4 linked regions of the Arabidopsis thaliana genome follow. The protein of the gene in region 1 interacts with the protein of each later gene in a pairwise test. Each region holds a gene or a part of one and is shown on either strand. Other genes may lie near its edges.

Region 1 (4,444 bases):
GTTACAACTTCCTCAACTAAATGTTTTGGTTACTCCTCAACTTCTATTCAACGATGTAGTAGATAATTTATCTATTTGTAAAGAAACTTAAGTCTCCAGCATTTGAAACTAACAGAAAGAGTGTGATTTTATTCAGATCATCAAAGCAATGATCGCCATATGCATATTCATCTACTAATACTACTAGATGGTCATGTTTCTGACAATAGAATAAATTTATACTGTATCTGTAGGTCTTGAATGATTGTTTGAAAAAATTTCAATTGTTGAACAATATTGTTTTTCTAGGATTTTATGTCTCTTCCTCCTTTATTGCCTCCTTATCTTAACATAGAGAATACCTCAGTTTTTCCTCATTCTCTTTGAGATATGAATTGAGTGTTGCATATTCTTTTGAATTTTATCCATTCTGAAAATCTAGAAGCATCCAAAATTCGTTTCTTCAAATCTTCAAAGTGTTTATCCTTTTTTAAGGAATACATATTGTTTGTTCTACATATTTTATGCCTAACAACTTGCCTTCACTCTCCATTTTCACAATAAAAATCATAACATTTTTTTTTTTGAATATATTTGGAAATTCAAGTCTTTAGGTCCTAACATTACACACTTTAAATTCAAAAACATAACTTGAAAAGTAATTCAAATTCTCACGAAAGCGGTTAGAAATCTTAAATTACAAACCACACTTCAGTTTTTGCCGTTGTTTCCTCCATACTCAAAATCTTTAGTTGGTTTTTTTAGAAACTCATAAAACGAATACATTTGAAGTTTTAAATAAGAACTTTTTCTCTCTAAATTAACGGTAACTATGGTACTCCCATTGTTTAAAAAAATATGATGTTTAAACACAAAGTTTAAATAATTAATTTATCTTTTTATATATTTTTTCTAAATTAAAAACATAATTTAATATTTAGTTAATTAAAGTGAGTTTGGCCAATGAAATTCGTTACTGCATAATATATATATAGTCATAAAAGTATATAAATTCTACGCTTGCATAGAAATTTGAATTATTTGTCTAAAACATCTTATGTTAAGAATCAAAATAATTTGGCTAAAACAACTTATAATATAAAACCGAGAAAGTAGTGTTTTGGAGTTTTTATTTATGTTTTCTGGCTACTCTTTAATGTAGCCATTTAAAGTAAAAAGAAAATGAAACCAAGTATATATATAAGAGTGAGGACCCTTTTCATAAACAGAAGGATTTATTGCTTCTAAAAATTAAATTGTCTAGATTGTTTTCTATCTTTTCATAAGAAGAAAGATTTATTGCTTAAAAAAAAAGTAAATATTCAAAGATTTTTTTTTATCTAATGATTACGAAGTGAAAATATTTGGTTTTATTATGTGGCTCCTAATTGGTCGTTACGAACAATGTTTGTTTTACGAACACTTGTTATCCACAACAATTTTCAAGGTGTTCCACAACTATATTTTCAATAGATCTTTTACACATTAGATGTTCATATCTTGAAAACGAAATATACTATGTGAGAAACAACTCATGCCAAATTGAGAAAACTGGAATAATATATCAGCGGTTTGCAAGTAAAATTTCGTTGCATAATAAAACCGGAGTATAACTTTCACGCGAAAATCCATTTTAAAATCAAAATGCTGGAAAATTTACGAACATAGATTCGGGATTCAAAAAGATCTCTTACTAGATCCTAAGATCATGATGCCTACATATTCACAACGTATACAAAATTAATACCATGAGCCATGGGGATTTTCTACTTTCATAAAGGATAACTAGAAGATGGAGCTAGTAGTATATGTTTTTTATGGTAATTGACATTTATGCCTAGTTCATTGTGTTTTTTCGTAATGAACTGCGAATATTTTGGTGATTCTTTGGCATAAACTAATCTAAAGCAAAGAAGAAAATAAGAGTTAACTAAAATTCCATTGTCTTCCATTTGCTTTCGTTAATGCCATGTGTTTTGGTGTTGTTGATGTTATGTTTAGTCTTCTATGTGATATTTCACATGGAAGACTACACATAACACCAACAACAACAGAACACATGACATTAACGAAAGCAAAACATAATAACAACAACAACAACAAACATGACTCGATAGAGATACAAATTCTCACAAAAGCATTACAACCCTAAAACCCAATCAACACTTTTCAATTACCGCCGCTGCTTCCTCCAATTTCCCCAGCTGCCTCCTCTCCGTCACCAGGCACCGCCGGCCACTCCTGCATCTGTGGCGGTGACGCGTACACACCATTACAATCAAACACCGGATATCCTATCACCGTTCCCGGAGGAAGTACTTCACCGTCCGGATGTAGCACGGGATCATCGGTAACGACGGAAGGGTCTCTTGGGACAACGTCGCCAAGGAAGGTAAATTTGAAACTACGAGTCGTTGCGGCGGAGATATCGGATCTCGTGAGCGTATCGGATCTCTTGAGAGTTTGGCGACCGCCCTCCACGGTATGAAGCCACGATCGCATTGTGAGATCAAGAATGAGCATCTCACAGGCCTTCGATATAAGGACCGGAGCCTCTGCAGTGACCATGTTCACTTCCGGGTTGGACTTCATGATTTTCTTTATCCTGGTTAGTGGAAACGCATGATGCTTAACATCAGTTGCGTTTCCCATCTGCGCAATCCAATAATTCCGCATCTGCGGTGAGTACGGCAGCGGCAGTGAATATGACGGCAACGGCATTGATTGATAATACAATGGTGGCGGCGGCAGTTGGGAAGACGATGGTTGCGGCAGGTAGTGGTTGTTGTTGCCGTTGTTCTCTTCCATTTTGATCTTTACGTTTTTCTTGTTCACTTTCTAGGCTAGGGTTTCCATATTTAAAGGCTGATTAAGTGGGCTACGAAATCAGCCCAACTATTTTCTCAAAAATAAAATTTATTTTTTATTAATATTTTGTTTTGTGTTATACAATATTTACTAATATATGTGAAATCCCAAAATACAAAACCTCACTTTCTATTCATTATAAATTTTTGTTAACCAATACTTTTTGGATTTTATAAATTTTAAAACTTATAAAATTTAGATAAGGTGAAAGCTATTAGTCAACTATAGCTTTAGATAAGGTGGATTTTATACTAACCAATTTAGGGAAGTATGTGAAAGCTAGCATATGAGGAATGTCGTCAATGGTTTTGTGCCCAAGATCTGATTAGTCAAAGAAGAAAACTATAAGTGGTGCCTTGGAGTGGTAATTAGTGGGAAGATACCAAACTGAGAATTTTCTAATGCGCAATGGAAAGTATGTGGAGTTTCCGCATAGATAAGGTGACTTTGGCTTCGAGTGAAAAAGCTATAGTTGTGTACTTAAAATCCAATGCTTGGCCTGCTTCTTTGTGTTATCATTCTTAGGAGATTGCAAATATTGTCAGCATTTCAAAGATGCAAATATGTATGTCAATTTGTCTTGTGCATGAGACCGATCTAATCTGAAGCATTAATTTAAAGGTAGCAAAGGAACATGTTTCATCATTCAAAGATATCTCAATGCAGATAACAATTCCAAATCAATGAAAACACAAGTGGTGGAAAGAGATATTTGAATAGATGGTTTTCGCGCCAAAGTTCGTTAAAATATCAAGCTTAAAATTTAAACATCCAAAGATATTGTTTATGTAAAGAATATGTTTCTCTTAACCTTAGATATTATTTTTAAAGGAAATAATTACTACTTTTAGGGCCGGTCCAAACATAATTTGCCGTCACCTGTTAAAAAGAAATTACAAAAGTTAGGAAATTAGGATCGAACTGGTCACCTAAAGCGGATATCCATCAACTTTTCGGAAATAAACTTTTTATGAAATGATGCGCCTATATATTTATATAGAGAGTTCTTTGCCTAAAACCTTTGTTTCATGAGATTTTTAGGCTTTAATCGAAAGTCGAACCTGATTACTTGAACAAACGAATCATGCAAAATCTAGAAAAAACAATGATGAGTTCAACATTTGGTGTGAAATTTAGTTAGCTGGATAAAAGCAATCAAACCAGATTATTTTTTATTGATATGGAGTTATTGAAAACATTTATGCATAGTCCTTGTGATGATAATCAGCCCCATCCCAAATAAAATTAGAGATGTAAGGTTACCCAATTTGTTTTTGCTATAAAAAGCTTTATTTAAAAAACAAAATCAGGCTTATTATTTTTAAAACAAAAAATGGGGTTTTGAACTATAATTTTGGGCTAATTATAAGTTGTTTTATAAAATATGGGTTTTTTATATATCAATTTTACTTCAAAAATAAAAAAAGTCTTGACCCTCACACCTTACGACTCACCCATTGGGTCGAGGTTGATGATAACAAGCTCGGCCCAAATAGGATGGGCAAAAGGGCAGTAGCCCATGATTCCATGATTTTTTCTGAATTATTTTTTAAAAAGGCCATATTTTATAAAAAAATTAATTTGACTGAAAATATCT
Region 2 (9,713 bases), on another chromosome or scaffold:
GAGTTCTGGATCTGTCTCTTGTTGACGATACTGGGTTACATCCCTGGGATCATCTATGCTATCTACGTTCTTGTCGGATGATGACCAAATTCTCTTGTAAATTTTTCATAATCTTTATTTAGCCTTTGTTGTTCTTTTCTTATCGCTCTTTGTAATAAACAACTCTTGCGTTTTCGCTAAATAAAATACTATTTTTGCTTAGTTCCTAAATCACCAGGGCTGCCAAAATATACACCACATCATCCATTCAAATGCGTTATATGATCGGACACCAGAATCATTCAAGCAAACAATAGATGTTACATTATGACCAACCAACCAACTATGCATGCATTATATATAGTTTCATTTATTCATAGTAAGGCGCCTACATGGCTATAGCATAATGGTGGTCCATATACATGTCTAGCCGGCGGTTGGGTTTCTGACAACGATACGGATTTCGTCAACCCAAACCCTAACGCGGTAGCAACTGAGGTCTTCAGTCACATAATTTCCATCCGAAACCACGACAACGTTGAGGCTCGAGTTCTCTCCTTTTATCACCGAAGCCGCATAGTCTCCATTTGTTCCTAAAAGCTCCGGCCATGAGTTCTTCCCTGTGTGTGGTCAAATCAACCACATCAGATTGGTAAATCATTTGCATTTGGTAAAACAGTAGGTCCAACGGTTATTATGGAATCAAACTATATATCCCTACTAATACTATATGGCTCTCCAAATATCATATATTGGGGATTTGTTGTGTAATCCATTGTTATTCAAACAATAGATGAAACATAAATCTGTGTCAATCGATAAACAATGCATGCTCCAAATTATAATTAATTTCCTCAAGAATGTGCTATGTGAAACTGACACATGAGAATTAAATAATAGTAAACGATTTGACGTGAGCGAGAAGAGAAAAGATTAAAGAAAATCGATAAAGGGCGGTACCAATATCAAAGAATGAAAAGTAGAAATTGAGGATGAAAGACGAACCAATATAACTACACCACTCGGTTGCCATTTTTCTTCCTCTTTTGTTTATGTATATTGCGATGATGTGATTGTTTGCTATGATTGTCCTCAGGAATTTGAGTCCAATTTATACAAATACTAGGATGTATGCAGATGTCTATGGGTTTGTATAACACAGAGTCAAGTTAGTTTCATTGTGTTGTCCTTTGCATTAGCCATTAGGTGTACCATATTTTCTTTGTTAGATAACACGTGCATGGTGTAAAACGGAGCGGTTCTTCAACTTTACTATTATTTAGTAGAACATTAACTTACTTTAAAGGAAAAAAGGATTTATACTAAAGCTTACTTAATAAATACTCTTACGAATTAATATATATGGAGGTGCAATCTCAAATAACAAGTTATAAGGTATTTTGCAAACTCAACACAAAATTATGGCTTTTTTTATAACAGTTCGTAACTCAAAATATATCTGATCGATCCGATGATCCGACCAAAAACTCATTCGGTTAGTTTTCTGCTCCGAAATGTAGAACATTCTTTTTTTCGGGCTATTTCTTAAAGCAACAAAGGAAAAAAAAGGCAGCTACTACAACCAAAAGAAAAGAAGACAGTTGACTTATCCAACTCAACATGCAAACGATGCCTTGTAACGCACCCAAGACATATATATCATTGCCCGTTTCACTTTCGTGTTTTGCGTTGTCCCAGAATGCTGCGGTTTTCTGGTGTAGAAGAAGTCTCAAGTTTGGATTTGTGTCTTCTTCTTCTGTTTGCTTCAAGAGCATTTGGTTCTCTGTTTTCTTTCTCTCCGTTCTCCTGCTGTAACAAAAGTTTGTTTTTTCTTCATCATCTCAGGAATCTTACATTACAAGATATTTGCTAGGTTCAATAAAACGAATTTCTTAGGAAGCATACCGAGTCGAAAAATCCCATCTTTGGAAGTGGTAACCTCAGACCAGAGTAGGATGATGTCAAGTCCTTGACTGCGTAACTTGAATACGATGACCTTATGTTAGATTTCGATCCAGATTGTTCTTCAAAACCATGATTCTTGTGTTTTTCCTTATTCCTCTCTTCAAAATAAAACAAAGATGTGCAACTTTTAAAGATGTTTTGATTTTCTTCTCGTTTTGAAGAAAGAATAAGATGTATCATCAATCATGTCCTCACCGAGTTCACTTGCAACACATTTCTTCTCGCGTATAGCTTGACTAGGAGTCAAAGATTTGGAGATGGATGATAAAGAAAAAGAAGAAGAAGAAGAAGAAGACACTTTTGGTTGAGGAATGAGACTCAAAGGTTGAACTTTCTGTTTGTATCCTTTAGTCCTCTTGACAAACAAAACCAATTAATAAGTAAAATTTAGATGAAAGCAAATGATTGAAACAGTTTCTGAGGTTTTCCGTTTACCTTTATACCATCTGGTAACTTACGATGGGTCTCTTGAGTTACTGTCTGCTTCACATTCGGTGAATTACGTAAAGAGGCTCTCAGGTCGTGGAACAGATCAAACTCAATGCTGGCCACAGAAAATCTGCTTCCTTGAGTTGTCGTCGTATCAGCAGACTTACGAAGCTGCGTGTTACTGGTGAAACCATTGTTCACAAGACACAACTCCTCAGCATCAAGAACACCTTAGCATAAATATAGACAATGTCAGCCTTGAATATACAGAGTCAAAGCTAAATTATAAGGTTTGATTGTTATATATGAGAGGAATAGTGGAATAGTGTGAAATAATTGACTAATCAAGTAGGGTAAAGAACTTTGAAGTAAAAAGATGAGACCTGGATCGGTAAAAAAAGCATTGTCCCAAGCAAAACTTGGACGAGCATCGGTTTTCGAAGGAAGTGTGTGATTATGATTTACTTCAACTTCAATCTCATTCTCGTCAATCTTTAAGCTCCCAAACAATTCTTCAGGATCTAACACTCCTACAAACCAAAGTGGTAAAATCATTGGAATCATATAATTTAACATTTTGTTTCTACACAAAACCAATCTATAGGAAATAGGAAGAAACCAGGGTTGGTGGAAAAAGCAGTGTCCCAGGCCAAGCTTTTGCGATGGTTCCATTTGCTCTCTTTGTGTGCCATCGGCTGCACAAAGTCAATCTTTACTCTTGCTGCTGCACAAAGTATAATCAGTTTCTGAAGACTAAAGAGATTTTAGATAGGAGAGGAAACAGAGGAAGATGATTCTACTTGATGATGAACCAGCTTCTTGAAATTCCATAGCCTGTTCTTGATTTTGAAAAATAGAATTTTCAAATTGGAAAAACAACAGCCTTTATTAAGAGAATTTATGGAGAGACAAAATTTTGAAATTTGTAAGTTTTCGTGATTTAAGCATTTGATTACTCTCTCAAAGCTTTTCAATTCAAAGCAAAATTAATTGCTGCCTTTACTTTGTGATTTTGTAAGTGTAGTATTTGATACAGATCAACTGACTTAAAATGTAATTGTCTATACCCAAAACAAAGGTACTGTACAAATTTAATTTAAGGATTTTGTATTAAATGAGAATAAATTAGCTATGAAATTCCGAAAGTGAATCGAAAATAACAACAGGATGTGGACAAATTTTTCCTTCATTCAAGTGTTCTCAACATCTAACAGAGAAATCTTTAAATACAACCAACTAAACCGGAAACAATAAACCAAACGTTCAAACTAACATAACCGAAATTGAGAGTAAACCCGAAATAGTTGTCGATCAGCTCAACTATAAACAACTCACTGATCTCTAATTTCCCCTGCACCGTTTTAGAGAATTTCACGTTAGACAAACAATTTTGAAACTAGCCATAGTTCATTCACACAGCAAAATATAACATGATCAGCAAGTTTACAAGGCATGTCCTACTATCATCAGTTGTAACGAAGTGAAGATTGGATATGAACCTACATGCATATAGACTATGCTCTTCATTTGTGTACATGAGGCCGTGTGATAGAGAGAAGAATTACTTGATCATTTGGCGATTGTTCTTAATCACTACTTGCAACTTCTTTTACCAGCTCTGTGATTGAATCAAAATGATGAAGTCAGAGCTAAGTACAATATAGGCTGTATAGCATTGGTATCATCTATACTTGTCAAAATCATACCGGCATTTCTTCACCAGAAACACCGCCACCAGCATCTCTATTTGATCCATCTCCACTCTTTCCTGATCCCTTATTATCACCCTATCATAATTTCACAACAAAACGTAAGAAGCCAATGGGCAACACTGGAATGGAATATAAAGTAGAAATAAGTATGTGGTTTATTTACCTCCAACTGCATCAGCAGGTGGTGTGTCAGCAACCAATCCCAGGGAATGAAAAGAACCGAATTAGTCTCAACTTAATAAGAAACATTTTGATTTTATTATGTATGTTAACAACAAAAGCACAAAAGAGAGAGTAATAAATGTCTTTCAAAATTTACTAATATGCATCCTGACTGTTGGTCTAGATTTATCTTTCTTGCTTCAAAAATTCTACACAAGACGTATTGAAGGGATTGTAAAACTGCTATCATGGCAAGCTTCGATGTTACTCACAGCTACTAATCTCTTGACTAGGATATTAAGGATTTCAGAACACATGATTAGGGAGTCAAAGCAACATACCTCCCTGTACCTCGCTAGGTATATCTTTAGAGGTTCCAGGTAATCCTCAAATCCTAATGTTGCCATTGCCCACAACAAATCATCACCATTCACAGTTTTCCTTTTCTCTTTTTGACACTTATCACTGGCCCTGATTAGCAGAAACAGATACCAGTCAATTGGCCATTACAGTCAACGAATCAACATAAGACCAGCAAAAGAGACTTAAGCGCAACATCAGACAAGCTTATCTTGAACCAATAGATAAATCATAGTTTCATACATGATAACTTATTTCTTCCTAACAAAGAACGGGGGCATCTGATGTTATAAGAAACATAAAACTCATCAATCAGAGACCTAAAACGCATTCAACACAAGCAATTCCTTCATGATGAAAAACATATCTTTTGCCTTAAATGAACAAAAAGGAACAAAAACAAACAGATCCTAAAGATAAAAGAATCTTTGAAACATGATCAAGATACGGCTTTTATACCCTAAGATGGTTAAATGAAGAAAAAAATCTAACAATTTATTTGACAGAGTTAAGATATAACACAGTAGAAGCATGTGAAATAATCTGCAAAATGGTCTATAGGAAAGGAACTAGGTTAAGGTAAACCCATACCAAACAATGGTTGATTAACATTGTGACAAAAAAAAAAACATAATCTTTGCTCTATAAACTTCAAAAAACTCTCTGAGCTAAACTCAATCCATAGCTAGTTTAAGAAAACTATCTCTCACAAACCCAAAGTTCCAACAAATGATCAATTTTTTTCACCAAAGAGCAAAATATTTTCCAACAAATTCGATTGAAAGAAGAAAAATTGGGAATGCATACTCGCTAGTGATGAAGCTGATGAACTCAGAGACGCATTCCTGAACTGTATCCTTAGCATCTTTTCCAATCTTACCATTAGGAGGCAACGCTTTCTTCATGATCCTGCTGATATTAGCTATAGGAAGGTATCGATCCTGCTCCCTAACGGAACCGCCGCTTTCTCCGCCATCTCCAGCTGGGCTCGAAGGCGTATCCGCCATTTATACTCTACAGAAACAGAACAAACACTCAATTTGAAACCTAAACATGGTCGATGAAGCTAAAGTAAACAACAAAAAAGGAAATCGAAAATGGCGTACAGATTGGGGAAGATGGAAACCCTAGAACTTGGAATTGGGGATAGTCGTTTTAGTTTTAGGGCTTTAGAGAAATCGAATTTTTCTACGAAACGCTGCGACTGGTGTTTATATGATATGATTACACGTTTTTTTGTATTTGTTCTGTATTAGCTTTTGTAAAAGTTTTCAGACAAGGATTAATTTGGTAATTAATTAGACAATTTAAGAAAACTATATGAACAATTTGACTAAGGGTGACTTTTTCAATCTATTGTATAATAATTAGATGAGAATTTAAACATAAATTCATTTAATTTTTCAATGAATTATCTACGTAAATAAATCATAGAAAATTAAGATACTCTAATAACAATACCAACGACAATGTGGATTCAAAGTGCCTAAAGAACAAATTCTTTTACTTATGTAAAAAATCCTAAACTTTAAAGAACAAAAATTAAAATACAAAGATAAGTAATTAACATTTTATTGGGCTTCTAACTGGATTTGGTTCTATTTATTTGGGCCTACGTTTGAAAACCTCGGTCTTAAAGAATTTGTGTCCAGCTCCAGCACAAGGAGAGGCTTATAGACCATATGTCTTTTGGTGTCTGTTTCAATGGGCTTACATGTTTTGTTTTCAGGCGGCCTCGTCTTCTTGACACACACAAGTTTGTAACATTGGGCAGTGTGAAACATACACAAAACTAAACACTAATTAATTCTCAACCACAAATATTTAAGTGTGATGGTGACTTGGTCTCATATAATATGTGATTTTGTAATTTTGTTCGAAACCCGCATATAGAGTTGTTACCAATTAATACCTAAATCTTTATTCCGGATACGTGCTTTTACCAATCTTAAACAGACCAAAAGAAAAACTATGACTAAGTTGAACTGTATATACGTGTTTTAAACTGTATATACATATCAAATTGAATATTAACTATATGACAAGATTATCAAACGGGAACAAAAAAAAAACTATATGACTAAGTTGTGATGTTGTTTGTCAAATTTTATGTACGTCAACAATTCAACATAATTGACATTATCGTTGTTTGTGTGTGTGACAACAATTGATTATAGTATTTTTATACATGAATTTTATGAAGGACAGTTTGGTCATTTTTGTCGGCTAAGTGCCAAATTTGGCAGAAGCGTTTTTTTGCATGCAAACAGAATTCAGTCGACGCTAGAAATATTTTTCACCTTCGTTTGTTTTTCAAATTTCGACATTATCTTAGCCTTAGAAACCTTATCTTGTTCTCGATAAGGTTTGAACATCGTGATATAAATATGTACATTTCAAAGCTTTATAAAACAAAATCAGAAGTGTCAAAGCTTTTACCAAACAAATTAATAATGTCAACGAAGGGGCTATTAAAAGCTGGTTTCGTCAAAGTTTGACTTTTGAATCTGCAACCTCACCGACGACACCGACACCAAGACGTAACGTACGTATCCGATTCTATAAATGGGACTCAAATCTCTAAAGGTGAGCATACAAATACATCAGAAGACTACATAAATATATACAAGAGTGAAGAAAAATGTCGACCGAATGTCCTAGTAAGTTTTTGTATTTGTATTGTATAGTTCATAATTAAAGTTTTATATGTTTGTAAATAGTTAGCTAATGTTCAATTAGATATGGATTCAAGGCATTTAAAATTGTAATTCAATAGCTATAACATATATGATTACATTTTCTAAAGTCTGTTAGAAGGTTAATTATGTTACATATGGTCAATCCATGGTGATGTTTCTAGTTCTTTTGTTTTCATTTACTCAAATATGAGCTTCTTGATCTCCAAAATCCCAAACGTAAATGATTGACCGATCTAACGTAACGTGATCGCAGGGAAGAACTCGTGGCCGGAGCTTACGGGAACAAATGGTGACTATGCGGCCGTGGTGATAGAGAGAGAGAACCCCACCGTCAATGCTGCCGTGATTTTGGATGGGAGTCCGGTGACCGCAGACTTCAGGTGCGACCGGGTCAGAGTTTTTGTTGATGGAAACCGTATCGTCGTCAAAACCCCCAAATCCGGCTAGACTTGTATAATTTCTATATTCATAATGAAAAAGCTATAGACGAGTCGTGGTTGGTTAGTAATCAATCATGTAAAATAATAATCGTTTGCCTTCATAATTTCTGTGTTACTGATGCCTAAAGTTATGAATGAAAATAGTATCCTATATTTCAATTTGTAATGTTTCAATTTTTTTTTGTCAGCCAAATTTTTTGATTTAAAGTTCAAAAGAACAGATTGTGATAACGATTTCTAAGAGAAAAACACGTGTGGCAAGTGGCAACGTGTAGACAACAAATGGTTGAGGGGAGAAGGAGCACCCCGACCTAGTCCTCCGCCTTGAAGCTCTTCCAAGCAAGAATCAGGAAAACCAAAAATTAGCAAATAATGGATAATGGACCATTTCAAATAAATAAAATAATAAGTGAAGTACAAATTAATAAATTAAAGCAGGCCTGTTTTGCTGCCAAAATAAATAAATTAAAGCACTTATGATATATACAAATTTTAGAAAAAGTCATATGATTAACAAAATTTTACAAGAGTATTTTAAGCTAATAGACCGTTTAGTGACTAGTGTGATCATCTTGTAGAGGTCTATTACACGTGTTAGTGACTAGTGTGATCATCATACACATGAATTTTTCTACAAAATACACATGGATTTTTCTACAAAATACACATGGATTTTTCTACACATACACATCCCAGAAGCTCTCCTAAATCCAAGCTTTCCACAACCCAAGGGTCCCATGCATAGTCTAGGTTTATCGAGGCCCAAGCTTAGCTTATGCATACATGCTCCTTGTAGCCAATATGCTCTAGAATCCTGACTCCACAAACATGAGATTCATGTAGCTCAAGTTCTCCATAGTCCAGGCTTTGGTAAACATGGCTACATATCATTCTTTAGATTTTCTAGATTCTAGCTTCCGAGAGACCGTACTCTGAACGTTAACTCACGAGTCATGTGCATTAAATGAAATACATACACGACGTTTTGTATACATCACATTCAATCTACCAAAAGTATTATTTTACACCAACCAAATGGATGTAAAATAATACAAAATGGAACTATTCAACATAAGTATACCAATTCAATGTCCATTTCATAAGTATACCAATTCAGCCACATATAATAGTTAGCAGAAACTACATACCATTCAAAGTTATAGCTAGTTTATATATTTGTAATAAGGACTTTTCACCAGTTGGACTTTGAAGCCACCAAAAAAAGTAGGTGAAAGTGAGTTGGTGGGGGGATTCAAAAGTTCCACATGACAAATAGATAATCAGTATAAATAAGATTAGTTCTTCTTATATTGTCTTATTCAATGCACACAAACATTTACCCAAAATGGCATCGGCGGTTCAGAAATCAGCGTTGCTCTTATGTGGAGACTACATGGAAGCCTATGAAACGATTGTTCCTCTCTATGTTCTCCAATCGTTTGGGGTTAGCGTTCATTGCGTTTCACCCAACCGCAACGCCGGCGATCGCTGCGTTATGTCTGCCCACGATTTCTTGGGCCTCGAGGTTCCAATTTTCCCACTAAAACGAATTTCGAACTTTCTTTTTCTTTGTGATAATTCGCTTAATTTTGTTTTTCTGTTCTAAAAAAGCTATACACCGAGCTTGTCGTTGACCAGTTGACTTTAAACGCAAACTTCGATGACGTCACTCCGGAGAATTACGACGTCATCATCATCCCAGGAGGCCGATTCACGGAGCTTCTCAGCGCCGACGAGAAATGCGTTGACCTCGTGGCGCGATTCGCCGAATCCAAGAAGCTGATCTTCACTAGCTGTCATAGCCAGGTTATGCTGATGGCGGCCGGAATCCTCGCCGGTGGTGTGAAATGCACGGCGTTTGAAAGCATAAAGCCTTTGATCGAACTCTCCGGCGGTGAGTGGTGGCAACAGCCTGGGATTCAGAGCATGTTCGAGATCACCGATTGCGTTAAAGACGGGAATTTCAT
Region 3 (8,516 bases), on another chromosome or scaffold:
AAATCAACATTCTCTAACGACACACAAGTTGGGGTTGAAGGAGTCAAAAGACATCCCCAAATACAGAAAAACCCTAAGATTGAAAGAGAATGCAGATGAAATTCCAAAGTCACAAGACACGAAGAAGAAGAGAGCCAACATTGAATGAAACGATTCCGAAACCCAAGTTAAAGCTGCCGTTTTTCTTTCTTTATTAGAAACCATAATGAAACCAGCTTTAAAAGCTAGGGAAGACAGAAACTGACCCAATTCATAAGAAAACAACAAAAACCCAGGGAAGGCACGCCAATTCATGAAAAATACATGATTCGTATGGCTACGAAAACAAAGAAAGGAGTAATTGTTGAACATAAGAGCCGAGGCTAGTAGTAGTATGCATACAAGACAAGACATAGTCACATAGGAAGACTTTGGCAACAAACCTCCACAGAAGAAGAAGAAAGAAGAAGTCGGAACATTCAACGTGGAGCAATAAAATCAAAAAGCAGAGCCAATCTATGTATTGAATCTAGATGTCAACTTCGCGTGTGAAGGAAGAGGTAACGATACGAACAACAAGAAGAAGAAGAAGAAACGCCGAGACCGATAGCGCAAAACAAATTACAACTTATAAAGCAATATTATATAAAAAGAAAGAAAGAAAAAAGAAAGACAAGTCGCGTTAAAAGACGGAGACGAAGAGGAGGAAGAAGAGGAAGACGTGGTCGAAAGGAAAGAGCTTTCAGATTTACCTCTGCTCTCGTAAAACTCACACAGCTTTAGCATCAACACATCCAAATTCTTTCTCCTCTCTCTGTCGCAGACTTTCTCAACAAAGAGCGACCCCAAAAATAAAAAATAAAAATGAGAATCACAACATATATATATATATATGTATGTAAATGTGTGTGTTTTGCTGCATATGAATACGATGGATCTTACTTACGCTTTTTTTTGTTTTTTGGGGGTTAATAAATTCCTTAAAAGAAATGAAAAATGTAATAAGAGCGTGAGAACACGCGTTCTTCTCTACTAGAGAGAATGAGATAGATAGATTAGATGGGCCTCTCTGATAAATGGAAAATCCCTGAATTAACCTTGTCTTTACAACTGTCTCTTCGTCTTCCTTTACCCTGTTTCCGTCATTTTACTATGTTTTCGCTTTCGTGGCAACTGAAACTTTTTTTTTAATTAATTAATTAATACTTCTTCTTCACTTAGCCTCCGTACGTGTTTAATTACTTCCTATTTATACTTTCTCTTACTAATTTTTATCTTCTTTTTCATGTTAATTTTTAGAATACTTGAGAATTTTATTTAACTATTCTAACTCTAAAAACTTTTTGTCAAATTTTGACTCGCAATTTAAACCAATGCATGTTGCGTTGACCACCCAAGAATGAACTTTTATCTCTAAAACTGGTTTAGATAATTACTGTTTCTTTTATTTTTCTTCTATTATTTAAGGTGTCATGATATATATAAATAACACAAGTGTCTAAAATAAGAAAAAGTAAAAAAATAAAGACGACGGTCTAACAACTCCGTACAAGCCAAATAATCTTCTTTATATAGTTGTTTGTTTGTTTGGGTACCTAGAATAAAATAATTGAACTTCAAAGGCTTATTTTCATTTCAAGCCCAAAATTGAGGCTAAGCGAATTACCACCCTCGAAGTCAAATAATGACCCAATGCTGCCTCTCATCATTCGCGTCATATACACAACACAGCCCAAACTTTTTTTTTAATTAATTAATTAATACTTCTTCACTTAGCCCAAATAATGACCCAATTGTTTCACAAAAAGCATCACAATGCTCCTACTTTTTTATTTTCCTGTCCAAGCATATTGTGCTACTTAGGGATAATGAACCGTAGTGGAGACCGAGGGAAACAGGCCATGGCGATCAACTGGCCCATATGCGAAAGCCCAGTGATCAAACTCCAAATACATTCCCGGGTCTGGGTCAAGTCAACATTTTTCACAAGTAACTATAAACAATCTCGCCAGTTGAAATGTGTATATATAGTTTGGATTCTTGGCGAATAACGAGAGAAAACTTATAACAACAAAAAGAAAAGAAAAGAAAAAAGACAAGACTAATTAAAGACAGACTAACAATTTGTATTAAACATACTGAAACAATGTTTAATTCAGCATGGACCACGCACAAAGCTACTCGCACGCTTAATAGATTCACTATACTCGATCTTTACAAGTGGGCAATAAAAATGCCATCAAATATATATATATATATATATATATATATATATATATATATATATATATATATTGCTTATGCTGATCTTAGTTAATTAGATTACTATAATTGCATGACTATATATACCAGCTTTTTTATTCGACGATATGAATAAATATATGCGTTTGCGATTTAATTCAATTTAATTAAATTTATTTTATTAGACATTGGAGAATCGAAAATATATTCCTTAATAACAACTTTAAAAAATCACTAGTCGTTTCCTTTTCTATCAAGCCATACTTGAGAGGACATTTCACAAAGGTGTTATTTTATCGACCAACTTTAGGATTTAATATCTTAAATTTTGTACTATATAGATTTGTATATTCACGTTCTCATGGTTTCAACAACTAATTAATGCTTTATATGTTTTCTCCCTGAAATTCCAGCAAATACACATATTATATACACACAGTTTTTCATTAGTAGTAATTCTTATCTAAGTAACTAAGTAAGGCGCATCATTAGTTTTTCTACTAAACATACTTTTGGTGTAGGATTCGAAAAATAAACTTCCATATGCAACCATATGACCTAGCTAGTTTCATTATTACAACCTTAAACCGTTTGAAACCATTTATGACGAGTCAATTTCATCTTTTGATTAGGAGGTAGAGAACCAAGTTAATGAGCAAGTAATACTAATAATTACTGTTTATAATATAGAAATGCTATGAACGTCATCATGCATCGTTCAATAATTAATTAATATCTAAAGGCGTTCAACATTTGTTTATCCGTTTCAAGGTGGTCCGATCCACCATCGGTCGACACTTGTCCTCACTTTGTTAATGATTTTACATATATGTATATGTAGCTGTAATATTTAACTAATGACTTAGGTTTTTCGGGAAAACAAATAACATAAAATAATAGCCAACATATCATACTTCTAGAACACCATGCTCTCCAAAATCTTGTAAAATCCTCTATGTAATTTATAAATCTATCTTTACATTACTTCTTTAAATAATAAATGGGAATGTTTTGCTAAACAGCTCATATTATTCTCATCCATAGTAAGGCGACAAAGCTTGTAAATGTTTTCGTCTCAATATAATGCAGAATTTACATAATGCTGTATAGCCAATCAAAATAAATTAAAGTTTAAAATATAAATAGCTAGTTAACTAACTAAATCACTGTTTTGCGGATATAAACTAAATTTCGTCTAATAATTAAATACTGGTAAAAAGTAAGTAAAAACATAAAATCACATATAAGAGGAAATATATATATATATATATATATATATATTATTAATCCAACTAGTTTTGATTTGAAAGTTCATAGAATTTAAATGGTAGTTTGATTAAAGTAGGTTATATCATCGAGATTGAGTTCTAGATGGATAAGAAAAACCTAATGTGTTGACAAAATATATATATCAAAAGTGTGGTGAAACAAAAAATTATGTATTTCCTCAGTTCGAAAATATAAAATATTTTAGTTAAAAAACGATTTTTTTTTTAAAACAACATTATTAATAAGTAGTTGAAAATATAATTCAACCAAATATTATTTATAGCCTCTTCAATTTTGGCAAGCAGACTACTAATTATAGACCACAAGACGTGCTTTTATATGGTCCACGAGTTCGATATTATCGTTTATTAAAGTGACTAGCTCTTAAGGAGGAATGTGGAATAATTGAATAATTTTTGGTTGAGGAGAGTTTCCAGACTAACTGGAGTGTGGAGTCAATCCACAGATAGACGGTATTGACTTAAGCAGGAGGACCAAAACTTCCTTTTTAGGGTAACATCAAGTACGTCATCAACCCCAAACTATTTTCGCCTTCACGTACGTTGAGGATATCATATCATATTCATTCCCAAAGGCGAGATAATTCACTACTAAAGGAATGATATATGTGTTATATATTCTTAACACATTTCAACATTATTTTGTTTGCAACACATCTTATTCTATGATTACATTTTAATTGTTTTAACTCAACCAAAAGGGTTTAGGAGAAAATAATTAGAAGAAAATTGAGAGAGAGAGAAATTAGCTAGACCTGCCACATTGTCTCCCCTGTGACCTAGACCACTCTCATTGGTTTGTATGACACGTCACCACCATTCTCTGACCAGACAAACATAGATAGATACTCCTTAATTAGCTCTCTTGCCTTTCTACTTATATATAAAGCTAATTTAACTACACAAATCTCTCTGTCAAAACGAATATTTTTTTAGATGTATACATAATAAACACATTTATGTTAAAACCTCTCCTTTTTCTGTGTGCCATATAGTTTGGCAAATTACATATCTTCGTTCTATATCATCATTCGTTGTTGTGAATCATACTGAAACGAACCCCTCACCAAACAAGATTTATAGATCCTCTGCTTTAATTATAAGATTCTGATGGCGGGGAATTATCATTCGTTCCAAAATCCAATCCCTCGATACCAGAATTACAACTTCGGGAGCAGCTCATCTAATCATCAACATGAACATGATGGGTTAGTGGTGGTGGTGGAGGATCAACAGCAAGAAGAAAGCATGATGGTAAAAGAACAAGACAGGCTACTTCCGATAGCAAACGTAGGAAGGATCATGAAGAACATCCTCCCAGCAAACGCAAAGGTCTCTAAAGAAGCCAAAGAGACTATGCAAGAATGTGTGTCCGAGTTCATTAGCTTCGTCACGGGAGAAGCATCCGATAAATGCCACAAGGAGAAGCGAAAGACCGTTAATGGAGACGATATCTGTTGGGCTATGGCTAATCTAGGGTTTGATGATTACGCCGCCCAGCTCAAGAAGTACTTACATCGTTACCGAGTTCTCGAAGGTGAGAAACCTAATCATCACGGCAAAGGAGGACCTAAATCCTCGCCAGATAATTAAAATTCTTCCATCGCTTTTTGATTTTCCTTGATTAATCTCCATGTCATCATCTTCCTCTTTAGGACCAGCTATCTTTTTCTATCTTCTCATATATTGTTCTACATATATAAATAAATTTTATGTATATGATGATATAACATGTATGTGGTGTGAGGTACTGAACAAATCTGTGTTAATTCTTCCAGCTGATTTTGTTATTTTCTATATTTTTATTTATTTACATATATTGGAGTGGAGATCGATCGATGTGTATATTATGAACCATTTTCGGGATTTTCTTTTGGTTGCTTCATTAATGCTTTTTAAACAATTTATTCAGATTTAATTAATTTTCGACTGGTATAATTAAATAAAATTAAATCGAGCATCATACAACAACACAAGTCCTGCCACAACCAACCAAACCGGTTTTTAACTGTTTACCATCTAACTTTTAAAACCGTCAATCATGAAGATGAACTAATATATCATCAACTTTGTAGATTAATTTCGACAGTGAGGATATATACTACCATGTCCCTTTCCTCTGATCTAGACTACTTAACCCTCTATATATAAGAAATCAACTTTGCAATTTCGTAGTTTGTGGAATTCTTATTCAGTTAAATCAATTGATTTCTTTCGACAAAAAGCGAAACTTAGTCGACTTTCAGTATTTAGATATATTTTTAGATTATGGCATTTGCATATAGATTATTCGCATTCATTTATCCACACTAAAATGCTAGCTATTCCGTACACATCATATAGAAAAATAAAATTTACTACTTCGATATTGTTTTCTTTAAAGCCTAATTGATATTTAGACCTTATGTCGATATAGATTAATTCTATTTTCGACGTGATTCACTTTCTAAACAGTATATAGTACTAAGAAATAAAAATGGGCTAAATTGATTAGTTAAGAGCGAGTGGTCCATAAATCCAGATCAGTTCTCACATGTTATTTACTAACACAAGATCCCTGGACCTTCCACATAAAGAAAGTTATACATGTCTGACTCACGCTAATAACGTATACTTTTTACTCCAAATTTCAATTTGACCATTATACTCTTTTTTTTTTTTTTTTGTTAATACCATTTCAGCTGTTGATATCAAGCAAATATTTTCGCCTTCTCAAAAGATGTTATGTATTGGTTGATATGTTTGACCAAATAAAAAAATGTTAAGTTGAGATAGAATCTTAAGTTTAAAAAGAGATATATCTTAATTTAAATATTGTTGTTAATGTGTTGGCCTATAATAAATCATAGAGGTGGTATATATCGACGTTGTAAAACAGGACTATGATGCATAAAAAGAAATCATGTTATTTAAGATTTAACTGGCTGTTTAGAGGGAGCCAAATATTTTGGCTAATGAGATAGAGAAAGAGAATGTGTTTTCAACGGATTCTTTTTGTTAAAGAATATAAATATATATTAATCATAATGAGGCTTTTACACACAGGTCATAATTGAATGTTAATTAGGGCTGTAATTAAGATATAAAAATAGCATATGAAAAGAACATAATGAACCAAAAGCGGCTATATATGATTCCTCCAAAGAGGAGTCAACATGAAGCTGAATTTGTATCTGGTGGTCCTTTTCATCTCCTTTGATGTTGTTTGCAGTGGATGATTCCGCACGATGGTGTTGATCTCAAGTTTTCGTGTGTGTTAGCGAGAAGCTGGTTAGTGAGGAGTTCAATAGTGTATTACTGTCTAGTGACGTCGTGTTAATCCAAATATGCAAGGTCTTGGAAGTGATTTCTGGTATAAAAAAAACCGAGAACCAAAACATGCTGAAAATCTCGGTGAATTAGTTGTGTCACTAGTGTTGATCATCAATTAACTGTGTTAAATTTTCTCTATAATATTATAAAATGTAGCAATTGTTTTCTTAGTAAGTACTACAAAAAAAGGTTTGAAGAAGAGCGACCAATCATAGGCTACATAGTAATTCTCAAAAACGACTAACTTATACCTTGAAGAAACCAAAGATTCCAATTTCACGCATATCACCGTTTCACGCAAATTCTGAAGTTATATAGATCATGTGCATCCATCAAAAAATGTATTTGATACAAAATATTCAATATAATAAAATACACTGCTCCACTCTATTAGTCTATTTTCATAAGATGTTTATAATTATTTATTTTTTATTTCATTTTCTTTGAAGTTATTTAAAAAGTGTAACTGAAATGTAATTTTTTTATTTCCCTTGCCTCAAATATATGCTGTATTTTTACTATTCTTTTATTATTAGTTAACTTTAAAAAACTAATTAATTGATGCTTTTCATGTTAAAAACATATAAATTTTAAAATATCTTGCAAATAGAAACGAATAGAGAAAAATTCACGTGTTGGTAGATTACTGGATTGTTATTAGAGAGTTGTTTGAAGTATAGTGAGCGAATTAAAAATTTACTGTGTTGCTTGCTGCACTAAAATTACGATGTCGTTTTTGAATCTAAAACATGTGAGATTATAGGAATTTTCTTTGATACAAATCTCATTTGAAGAAGGTTTTAAAATATTTTCAGTCCCCGCCGGCGTAAAAGATTCATATTCCGGCAGATCGGAGAGCGTACTCTTGCACCAGCGCCGCAAACAGAGACGGCCTCTCCAGCAAGCGAGCCGGGCTATCGAACTCTTTCGCTTTCCCTGTTCAAAATTCCATAATTCATCAACTCTGTATTTCTGTAAAACTGAAAACATGACAAGTTTGTTTCTTTTTTAAGTCTTACCAGCATCAATGACAAGGACTCGATCGCCGTCCATCACTGTAGGAATCCGGTGGGCGATGCTGATGATGGTGCACGACGCAAAGTCTTCTCTGATGATCTTCTGAATCACGGCGTCGGTTTGGGAATCAACGGATGCAGTTGCTTCGTCTAGGAAGAGAAGTCTGCTGCGTTTCAACATAACCCTGCCTAAGCATAGAAGCTGCCTCTGCCCTACGCTCCAGTTCTCCCCATTATCAACCACTGTTCCAATCAAGTATTAATACTTCATATATATAGATACAGAGATTTCTACGATATATATATAGATCAAACTCCATCGTTACAGATCAATACTCACCCAAAGAATCGAGCTTCTCAGGCTTGGTAGCTACAACATCCTTGAGTTGACACCGTTCCAGGCTCTGATAAACAGAAAAAACGAAAAACAGATGTTGTTATATGTAACAAATGGTTTTTAGCTTTAGAAGATCAAGAGGCAAAACATGTTTTATCATCACCTTCCAGATTTCTTCGTCAGAGTATTGCTCTGTCGGGTCGATGTTGCTTCTCACGGTTCCTTCAAAGAGGACAGGTTCTTGCGGAATGATTCCGAATCTTGACCTGAGATCATGTAGCCCTAGAGTGCTTATATCAATCCCGTCTATGATTATCTTCCCTCCTGATGGTTCTACAAGCC
Region 4 (8,635 bases), on another chromosome or scaffold:
TTAGTTGGTCATAACTATTTTCACCGATGCTGACTTCGAAAGTTTTAAGAAATATAATTATATGATTAAATCATATAATAATGTTGACCAAATACGATTCACGGAATTTTTACCGCCCAATTTCTGTATACATGTGATGTGATACGTGAAGAGTTGACCAATGGAGGCAACGTCTAACAAATTGGTAGGCAATTAAAAAAGTACATTAATCATAGAAGTGATCAATAAAGACATTACTTAGACATGTTGAAAGAGGTACTCATGTTTTTATAATATCATTTTTATTTACTCGGAATCTTAATATATTTTCATTTTTATTTACTTAACATATTTTGGGCAAACGTATGTTCGTATTTTCAAAACCTAAGAGATGTAACAATATCATTCAACAATCAACGGTCATCACTCATCACCTATACTTTTCAGGTTATTGACATGAAAGAGTGAGATTTACTAAAACAACCTACCAACGTTTAGCAGAAGGCCACGTGTTGAGAACCCACATTGCAAGAAAATGTAGGGATTCCATGCACTACAGCAGATACACAATAGACCTTTGTATTTTAATAGTTAAAGAATTAGAAAAGTCAGACGACTAATCACGGGTTTAAACCGTTTTTTTTCTACCACTATAGTATAGTACTATAGTCTCTTTCTTCGTCCCTTATATTATCGACTCTATCTCCTTACCTCATTCTTGTTCCCCTCTTATCAAACTTCACCCCCAACAAGAGTTATCGAGAGAGAGAGAAAACATATTCTGATTTAAGACATATATAGACAGCAAGAAGAGATATGAACCTTAAGGAGACGGAGCTTTGTCTTGGCCTCCCCGGAGGCACTGAAACCGTTGAAAGTCCGGCCAAGTCGGGTGTTGGGAACAAGAGAGGCTTCTCCGAGACCGTTGATCTCAAACTTAATCTTCAATCTAACAAACAAGGACATGTGGATCTCAACACTAATGGAGCTCCCAAGGAGAAGACCTTCCTTAAAGACCCTTCTAAGCCTCCTGCTAAGTAAGTTCTATTTACACAATTCCTTAAGAAGAAGACCTTCCTTAAAAGGGAAGACTTTTTTTTTTTTTTTTTGAGATAAAAAGACTAATAGTTGATATAAAAGTTCTTAAAATACATATATATGAAAGATGTAAGGATGCATAAGTAATAACGTTATTGAATGTGTGTGTGTGTTGTTATATTCTATGCAGAGCACAAGTGGTGGGTTGGCCACCGGTGAGGAACTACCGGAAAAATGTTATGGCTAATCAGAAGAGCGGCGAAGCAGAGGAGGCAATGAGTAGTGGTGGAGGAACCGTCGCCTTTGTGAAGGTTTCCATGGATGGAGCTCCTTATCTTCGGAAGGTTGACCTCAAGATGTACACCAGCTACAAGGATCTCTCTGATGCCTTGGCCAAAATGTTCAGCTCCTTTACCATGGGTATGCATTTTCAGACATATAAGTCGAATTATCATTATTATTTTTGTGTTTACTTACAATTTTTTCTTTTTAACGATACAGTTTTTTCCATATACGACTAATTAATATGATAAGTTTTGGGATTTTGATTAATTAAGGGAGTTATGGAGCACAAGGGATGATAGATTTCATGAACGAGAGTAAAGTGATGGATCTGTTGAACAGTTCTGAGTATGTTCCAAGCTACGAGGACAAAGATGGTGACTGGATGCTCGTTGGTGATGTCCCCTGGCCGTGAGTTTCCTCATTCTTCTTGCTTTCATTATTATGACCAAAATTATTCTCTAAACAAAAAAAACAATATTCTCTAAAGCATTATTATTGATATTACTTATCAAAAAAATACACAAAATGATAATCAATATCCATGTGTTATAAACACGCACAGCCATCTTTTGGTTGGCATGGGACAGAACTCAGAGACAGAGAAGATGTTTATATATAAATACTAACTCATCAATATGTTACCTCATTTGTAGCTGGCACATATTCTTTCACTTTCAATAGATTTCTAAATTTAGTCACCAACCCAAATCCCGATTTCAGGATGTTTGTCGAGTCATGCAAACGTTTGCGCATAATGAAAGGATCCGAAGCAATTGGACTTGGTAAGTTTTCTTTTCTGTTCGTTTCTATAAGTGGCTCTTTTCTGTTTTTCCAATAATGCTCGTGTTTTTTTTTCAGCTCCAAGAGCAATGGAGAAGTTCAAGAACAGATCATGAACAAAAAAAAAAGAGGACAATATGCATTGATTTTTTTTTTTTGGTATTGTTATGATCATGTGTTTTTAATTTAAAATATTGGAAGTATATAGGAAAATATAATTGTTTACGAAAAAAATAACTTTAAATATGTCTTTTTTTTTTTTTTTGAAATTAGTCTGTGTTTTTGTTTTCATCTCTTAATTAGTAGAAATCATTTTTTAATATGTAATTGTGATAGTAAATCTATAGAGTTCGTATTTTTGCTATTTAAAATTTAAAATGCTAATACTATATATAATTTATGATAGGTAAATTTACGTTAAATAATTTATCTCCACTTTTCCTACTTTATTATTCTTTTCCTCTTTATTTTCTCATTTATTGGCTTTACAGATTATATTTGAAATTTGTAACTATTTTTGATGTATCTAAAAACATTTCACATAACAATTTCTTAAGAAAACTAAGAAAACTGTTGGTATATTTTTTGACTAAAATGGTTTCCAAAAAGATTTTGAAACGAACTAAAATCTTCATTACAAAACCAATTTTAAAACTACAAAACAAATATTCATGGTTTTAAGTTTCTTTTTTCTTTCCTAGTTACGTGGGAATACGTTATTAAATTCAGGACCCATGAGAGGCGTAGGGAACAAGAGCATGTGCATATTCATGGGTCTTTCAAATTCAGTCCATCCTCTTCATGCTAATGTGCCCTTCACCACTAGAAGCATAAAAATTTTCTTTCCTTTTTGGAAAATCTCTCTGTTTCTTTTTTTTCAGTAAAAATTAAGATTTCATTTATAAAAAATATCATAAGGGGTAAAATACATATGCCGGGTAAGAAAAATAACCAGTTCAGAAGTTAAGCCGGCGAGAAAACGGATTTTCTAGAGACAAATACATATACAAAAAGGAAAAATTCCAGAATAAAAAAAACATATTAAAACTGATCCAAAACTTCCCAAACTTATCACTTAAGAACTCAAAAATCTAATACAAATTCTAAATCCAAATTAAAACAAAATATAGATCTGAGATTAGAGATCCATTCAAAGAAAATAAAATCAATATTCTTCTTACCGTAAACGGCGGTGAGACAAACCAACACCCGAAGACCCAAAGGAAAAAAATCTCATAAAGAAAGGAAGGAGATCGAGATCTTCAATGGTGAGAAGTATGCATCTAAGGCGTTGAAGAATCGAATAGATCTACCTCTGGCATGGTTGGAACGACCAGAACTAAAGCTGTAGATGAAGGAGTAAAAAACAAGCAGCAAATCCCGTAGATGAAAGGATTTAGACTTTATTGATCTAGATATGAGAATTTAGATCTTAAACCATTGGAAGAAAATATGATTCAGATCATACCAAAACAAAAAGAAATCAAAACTAAAGAAAGAAAGTAAAGAAACCTCGCTTCCGATGCTGAAAAAAGCCACTGAAACAAGTAATCTTAGGCAGCGGCGGAGAAAGCTTTTTTATAGAGAACATAGAGCTTTTATTTTAAGAGACAGAAAATTTTTTATTAAATCAAAAGTGATTTTTGAAGTGTTTGGAAAATCTCTCATTTTTCCTTCTTTTTTAATATTTTACAGAAAGTTAGTTATTTGACACAATAAATTAAAAATTATTATTAATTTCCCATTAATGAACTGAAGAATTCTAGTTACTCCTACAATGAATGATAGTTTGGATAATTGATGAAATGATTCCGAATTATTCTCCTCCCTAAATGCTTGGCATAACATCAGAATATCTAAACCATTAGTTCTTTAGTTGGTTTTGGTATGGCATAAGGTGAGAATTCCTAAACATGCTTTCGCAGTTTATAACTCTTTATTTTTAACCTCAACCCTACTATTGATAGGATTTTTTTTGAGATGTCATGTTGAACAAACTTGCTTTAATGTGGCATTGAGGGAGAATCTAGGAATTCACCACTTGCACTTAAATTATTCATTTTCAGCTCAAATCTGAAACAAAATTATGGTAAAGTTGTTGCCTACAACCCTACCTATTGAATGATTCCAGCACCATCCGCCTGTCATCAACAACTTCTACAAGCAATGACATCTCCATTGCACTGCTTCAAGCATGTCATGCGTGTGTTTACGAGGTTTGGCATAAGAGTACCACATGCATCCACAACGCCACAACTCTTTTCCAGCTTCGCTCTACTACAAAGTTCTCAATGTTGTGAGAACAGAGCACAAAGCATGGTCCTTCACGACCCAAAAAGGGTAAAAGCTTCTCCTATTGTATTGCTTTGGAATGTTTTGGAGAGATCCTTCCTATACAACTCCTTTTTGGAGTGATTTCTTGAAAGCTCTACTTCGATGGAAGAAGCACTAGCTGTACGAGCTATTATTATCATGAGTTTCTCTTTAATCTTTTGAAATTAGTCTTCAATATGGAGTCTGTCATGGAGACTTTCATTTAGGTTCGTCGGAACTTCCTATCTGATAAATTTTCAAGCCTTTGTCGTTATTTATAATGTATCGTTTCAATCTTGTTTTTAATTCTACACCGTATGATCTTCTCTGTTTTGAAATTCAATGTTGAATACAATTTGCTTGACAAAAACAATAATGGAAAGCAGTTTGGTTATTGTAGTCATGGTATTTGTTGATAATTCTTTATTTTTTCCTGATTTTACCTGGCTGATGTTTTGTTTAGTTTTTTGATAGAAACTTAGTTTTGATATTTGAGTATTGCTTGTAAGAAAAAATCTTTGAATATTTGTGGCATAACATGGACTAATGGAAAACCCAAGCTCTTAAAAACCTGGACTCAAATATGAAATTTTCGCATCACAACACTTTAAAAGAAAAACTAATATTACATGCTGTGGTTTCGGGCCTGGAGGAATTACGGGCTTCGGCCCAGAACCTCCTGAATTTCAAAAAAAAAAAAAAAAAAAAAAAAGATCAAAGATCAAAGATCAAAGGTTACGTTTTAGATATGCCCTTGATTACATCTCATGTTCCCTGCATCAAAGTAGAAAAAGTTTTTCAATGACTCTTTTTAGCTTGATGCTATAATTATATTCCCACTACAATTTTTTAGGAAACATTTTACTCTAAAAAAAATGTATGTCTCTCTCATTTGATTTTTCCTCCTAATTCAACCATAAACTTCGATATCCTAGTTTACTTTTGTTACTTTCATCTTTCACGAATAAACACCCTAACCTTCTTTTATTCTTTTTTTTTGAAAAAAGTAACACCCTAACCTTACGAATCATAAATTTAATATTTATTTTGTTACGTTAGTGGGTTGAACCTAGTTTTAAAAAAAAAATTCTGTAAACATTATACTAAAAGTTAAACATATATATATATATATCATTAATTAATAAAAATGAAAATTTGCTTTTATCATTTTACAATTAAGAAAAATGATGGGAAAATTGATGTCCCATCGTAGTCACCATGCCACCACCGTACATCGGAGCTCCTCCACTTCCACTTCCAGCTCCACCGCCTCCTCCTCCACCTTCCTTATCGCCTTGTCTCCCTGCCGTAGTAGTCTTCTCTCCTTCCACCTCCCTATACTTTTGCAGATAAACCTTGAGAGGCTCCACGTAGTCCTCAAACCCTAGCGTAGTCATCGCCCAAAGAAGATCGTCACCGTTGATTGTCTTCCTCTTCTCTCTCTGACACTTGTCAGAAGCCTCACCGGTGATGAAACTTATGAATTCCGATACACACTCTTGAACCGTTTCTTTAGCATCCTTAGAGATTTTTGCGTTCGCAGGAAGTGCTTTCTTCATGATCCTGCTAACGTTAGCGATCGGTAGAAACCTATCTTGCTCACGTGTCGAAGCATTTCCACCGTCTTTGTGTCCTCCTGAATCGTTGTCCGAATCCGCCATCTTTAGATCGAGGAGACAAAAGGTCGAGAAAGAGAGATAGATGTTTTGGGTCCGTTGGATCAGAGAGGATAATAATCGTATCGTGATGACACGTGGGTAGTTATAGGTCGATTGTTTGTCGATAAGATTATTACAAGTGGATGTTATTTGGATAGAAAAGGAAGAGAGAGACTTGATAACCGGTTCTGTTTTTTCGGTTTGCCTTTATTATAAAAGACTCTTGAGTTCTGGTTATATATGTACTTTTGGTTTTTGTCGTTTATATCATGAAATCAAAAAACAAAACCCCTAATTCAGATTTTATTAAATTGATTTGGGCCAAAAGAAGACAAAATTTTGAATTTCCTCTTGCAATGGGCCTGATACGGGCCTAGATCCCTCCTATAAAACCACCGACATTTTTATATATACAATTGTTTCTAGGTTTCTTGTTACATACACTATCTATAAAGAGAGAGAGGTAGTGTCCCTCAAAATCTCTGTGAAATCAAAGAAAGCAGAATGGGAGGACTAAAGAGAAGAATTTCGATTGAGAAGATTCAGAAGAAAGAGTCACGAGCCGTTTGTTTCTCCAAACGTCGTACCGGTCTTTACAGTAAAGCCGCGGAGCTATTATGTCTTCTCTCCTCCGATTCACAGGTTGCGATCTTGACGACTCCTTGTTCTTCCAACTCTCACGTCTCCTTCTACTCCTTCGGCCATTCCTCTGTTGATTCTGTTGTTTCCGCTTTCCTCAAGGATCAGGGTCTTGTTCGTAAAGAGAATCTAGGGTTAGAGTTATGGTGGAAGACGAGAGTCTTGCTAAATCGGAGGATTCGGAGGAGTTGAGAAAAGCGATTGAGTCGATGTCTACGATGTTGAGAGATCTGAAGGAATTGGAATCTGTGAATAATTATCGAAGAGATCATCAAGAGGACGTCAAGATTAACAACGACATCAAGATTAAGAATCTTGTTTCACACGAAACCCTAAATCTTCAGTTAAGTTCTGCAACTTTTGGCGTTCCTGATGATGATCGTCTCAAAGAAGAAACGGAGATGGTTGTATTCGATGATCAGATCTTGGCGATTTTTGAGAGTAACGACAAACCTACAGGAAACTTGGAAGATCAAGAGATAGATCTTGATCAATTCCTAGATTTTGATCAACTCATAGATTTCGAGGGTTTGATCGATGGCGATTACTAGAGCACTCAAGAGTATCCAGAGCCTGCTGAGACTCGTCTTTTGATGAATTCGAAGATGGAAGATGTCTCGATGGTGATGAAAAATCCAAATCTGTGGTCTGATTCACAGAGGTTTAGATGAAAGATGATCCTTTTCAATGAGTTACCACACCATTGATGCAGTTTGAAGATAGCTCAGCAACTAATTTTCTTATATGCTTTTGTATGTATTAGTATTATATCAATATGTAACTCTGTCGGTATTGACCAATTGAAATTAATAGAATGTAATTGGTTCTGTCAACTTTGTTTACAAATATTTCTTGTCGATCCAGTTTAACACGAAACAACCCCAACGAATCTGAGGTTAACCTAAAAGCAAAAAAGTATCTAAAGACTTTTAACTTTTGGTGCCTTGTTTGGGTTACATGTATGGCTCATCTGACCCTGTAAGAGAGATGGGACCAAATGAACCATTGCCTTCCAAAGTTGCAAGAACATAATAGTCGTTTCTTCTCTTGTGTGGTCTCTCTTTAAACCGCACAGCCAACACCTGAAACCGCACAACAACTCCAACAGCAATCTTTGAGAGGTCGTCTTTCTGAAAATGCGGTTTCTCGTCCTCCGACAATGGTGAGTGGACATAATGATAATGTGGCATTTTCAAGAGTGAGAGGTATGCGTATCTGAGTGGTCCTGACCTGATAAAAGCTCCGTTCCACAACACTTTTTTTACAGTCCCTTGCAAGATATCTCCTCTTGCAGGCAAGAATGTGCGGCATGTGAAGGACACCGGGAATGTGAGGATTTTTGCTTGATGATTGTTTTCGTTGTCGATGTTGTTGTTCTTGTTGTTACCGATGCTTTTTAGAGCGGTGATGCCGAGATAGAATCCGTGTTCCCTGCACGCTTTCTCGTGTATTAGATCTTGGAGTAGTCTGCATAGAATCGGTTGGTGCGGCGATTGGCCATTCAAGTGTTTGGCACATATAGCCACGTCTCGAGCCATTTCTACTTCTGAAAACATTCGTGTTTATCTGTTACCTGAAAAAAACACAGGAGATTCTAAGTTGAAGGATGAATCATAAAATCCGCAACCAGAAATGATAACCATCAAGCCTTAATAAAGATTATAAAGCAGTATAAACGCAGGTCATAGGTCATAGAGAAAACATAACGTTTAAAGCAACGAAGCAGATATAAAATGTTTTGACGGCTAAATAGATTGAAGTTATATAGCATTGAACCTTATATGGTACCTGCATAAGAAGAACTTAGTTACTGATCAGCCCACTCAATTCTACATCAGAGAAAAGGAATCAACCAAGAGACAAAATTAAGAGCAAAGTACTCAAAACTGAAACTGCTAATTTTACATCAAACAAACAAAAAAGGTACTGAAACTGCAGTAACA

The links.
Region 2: the proteins of NF-YC7 (region 1) and NF-YB1 interact in binary tests that used the Arabidopsis thaliana proteins (3 or more experiments, as listed by UniProt).
Region 3: the proteins of NF-YC7 (region 1) and NF-YB5 interact in a two-hybrid assay, tested with the Arabidopsis thaliana proteins (3 studies listed by BioGRID).
Region 4: the proteins of NF-YC7 (region 1) and NF-YB3 interact in a two-hybrid assay, tested with the Arabidopsis thaliana proteins (3 studies listed by BioGRID).

Annotation. Positions count from the first base shown.
Region 1 is NC_003076.8:20,552,972-20,557,415, forward strand, and holds NF-YC7 (nuclear factor Y, subunit C7), read right to left. Parts: upstream 2,788-4,444; coding exon 2,149-2,787; downstream 1-2,148. UniProt on the Arabidopsis thaliana protein: Stimulates the transcription of various genes by recognizing and binding to a CCAAT motif in promoters.
Region 2 is NC_003071.7:16,234,586-16,244,298, reverse strand, and holds NF-YB1 (nuclear factor Y, subunit B1), read right to left. Parts: upstream 5,808-9,713; 5' UTR 5,714-5,807; intron 5,622-5,713; 5' UTR 5,615-5,621; coding exon 5,415-5,614; intron 4,719-5,414; coding exon 4,585-4,718; coding exon of another isoform or gene 4,457-4,584; exon of another isoform or gene 4,320-4,456; coding exon 4,249-4,319; intron 4,161-4,248; coding exon 4,080-4,160; coding exon of another isoform or gene 4,074-4,079; exon of another isoform or gene 3,992-4,073; coding exon 3,983-3,991; 3' UTR 3,939-3,982; exon of another isoform or gene 3,725-3,938; 3' UTR 3,518-3,724; downstream 1-3,517. Other genes in the region: AT2G38905 (Low temperature and salt responsive protein family), read left to right, coding at 1-81; AT2G38900 (Serine protease inhibitor, potato inhibitor I-type family protein), read right to left, coding at 406-599, 940-1,012; AT2G38890 (uncharacterized protein), read right to left, coding at 1,651-1,788, 1,885-2,042, 2,140-2,299, 2,380-2,603, 2,757-2,903, 2,993-3,094, 3,174-3,204; AT2G38870 (Serine protease inhibitor, potato inhibitor I-type family protein), read left to right, coding at 7,249-7,267, 7,560-7,753; YLS5 (Class I glutamine amidotransferase-like superfamily protein), read left to right, coding at 9,092-9,271, 9,358-9,713. UniProt on the Arabidopsis thaliana protein: Component of the NF-Y/HAP transcription factor complex. The NF-Y complex stimulates the transcription of various genes by recognizing and binding to a CCAAT motif in promoters.
Region 3 is NC_003071.7:19,579,524-19,588,039, reverse strand, and holds NF-YB5 (nuclear factor Y, subunit B5), read left to right. Parts: upstream 1-4,421; 5' UTR 4,422-4,619; coding exon 4,620-5,102; 3' UTR 5,103-5,382; downstream 5,383-8,516. Other genes in the region: ABCC4 (multidrug resistance-associated protein 4), read right to left, coding at 7,657-7,757, 7,841-8,080, 8,178-8,241, 8,338-8,516. UniProt on the Arabidopsis thaliana protein: Component of the NF-Y/HAP transcription factor complex. The NF-Y complex stimulates the transcription of various genes by recognizing and binding to a CCAAT motif in promoters.
Region 4 is NC_003075.7:8,342,084-8,350,718, reverse strand, and holds NF-YB3 (nuclear factor Y, subunit B3), read right to left. Parts: upstream 6,371-8,635; 5' UTR 6,057-6,370; coding exon 5,571-6,056; 3' UTR 5,395-5,570; downstream 1-5,394. Other genes in the region: IAA14 (indole-3-acetic acid inducible 14), read left to right, coding at 796-1,016, 1,208-1,437, 1,575-1,710, 2,023-2,140; AT4G14530 (agamous-like MADS-box protein), read left to right, coding at 6,836-7,243; AT4G14520 (DNA-directed RNA polymerase II-like protein), read right to left, coding at 7,646-8,248. UniProt on the Arabidopsis thaliana protein: Component of the NF-Y/HAP transcription factor complex. The NF-Y complex stimulates the transcription of various genes by recognizing and binding to a CCAAT motif in promoters.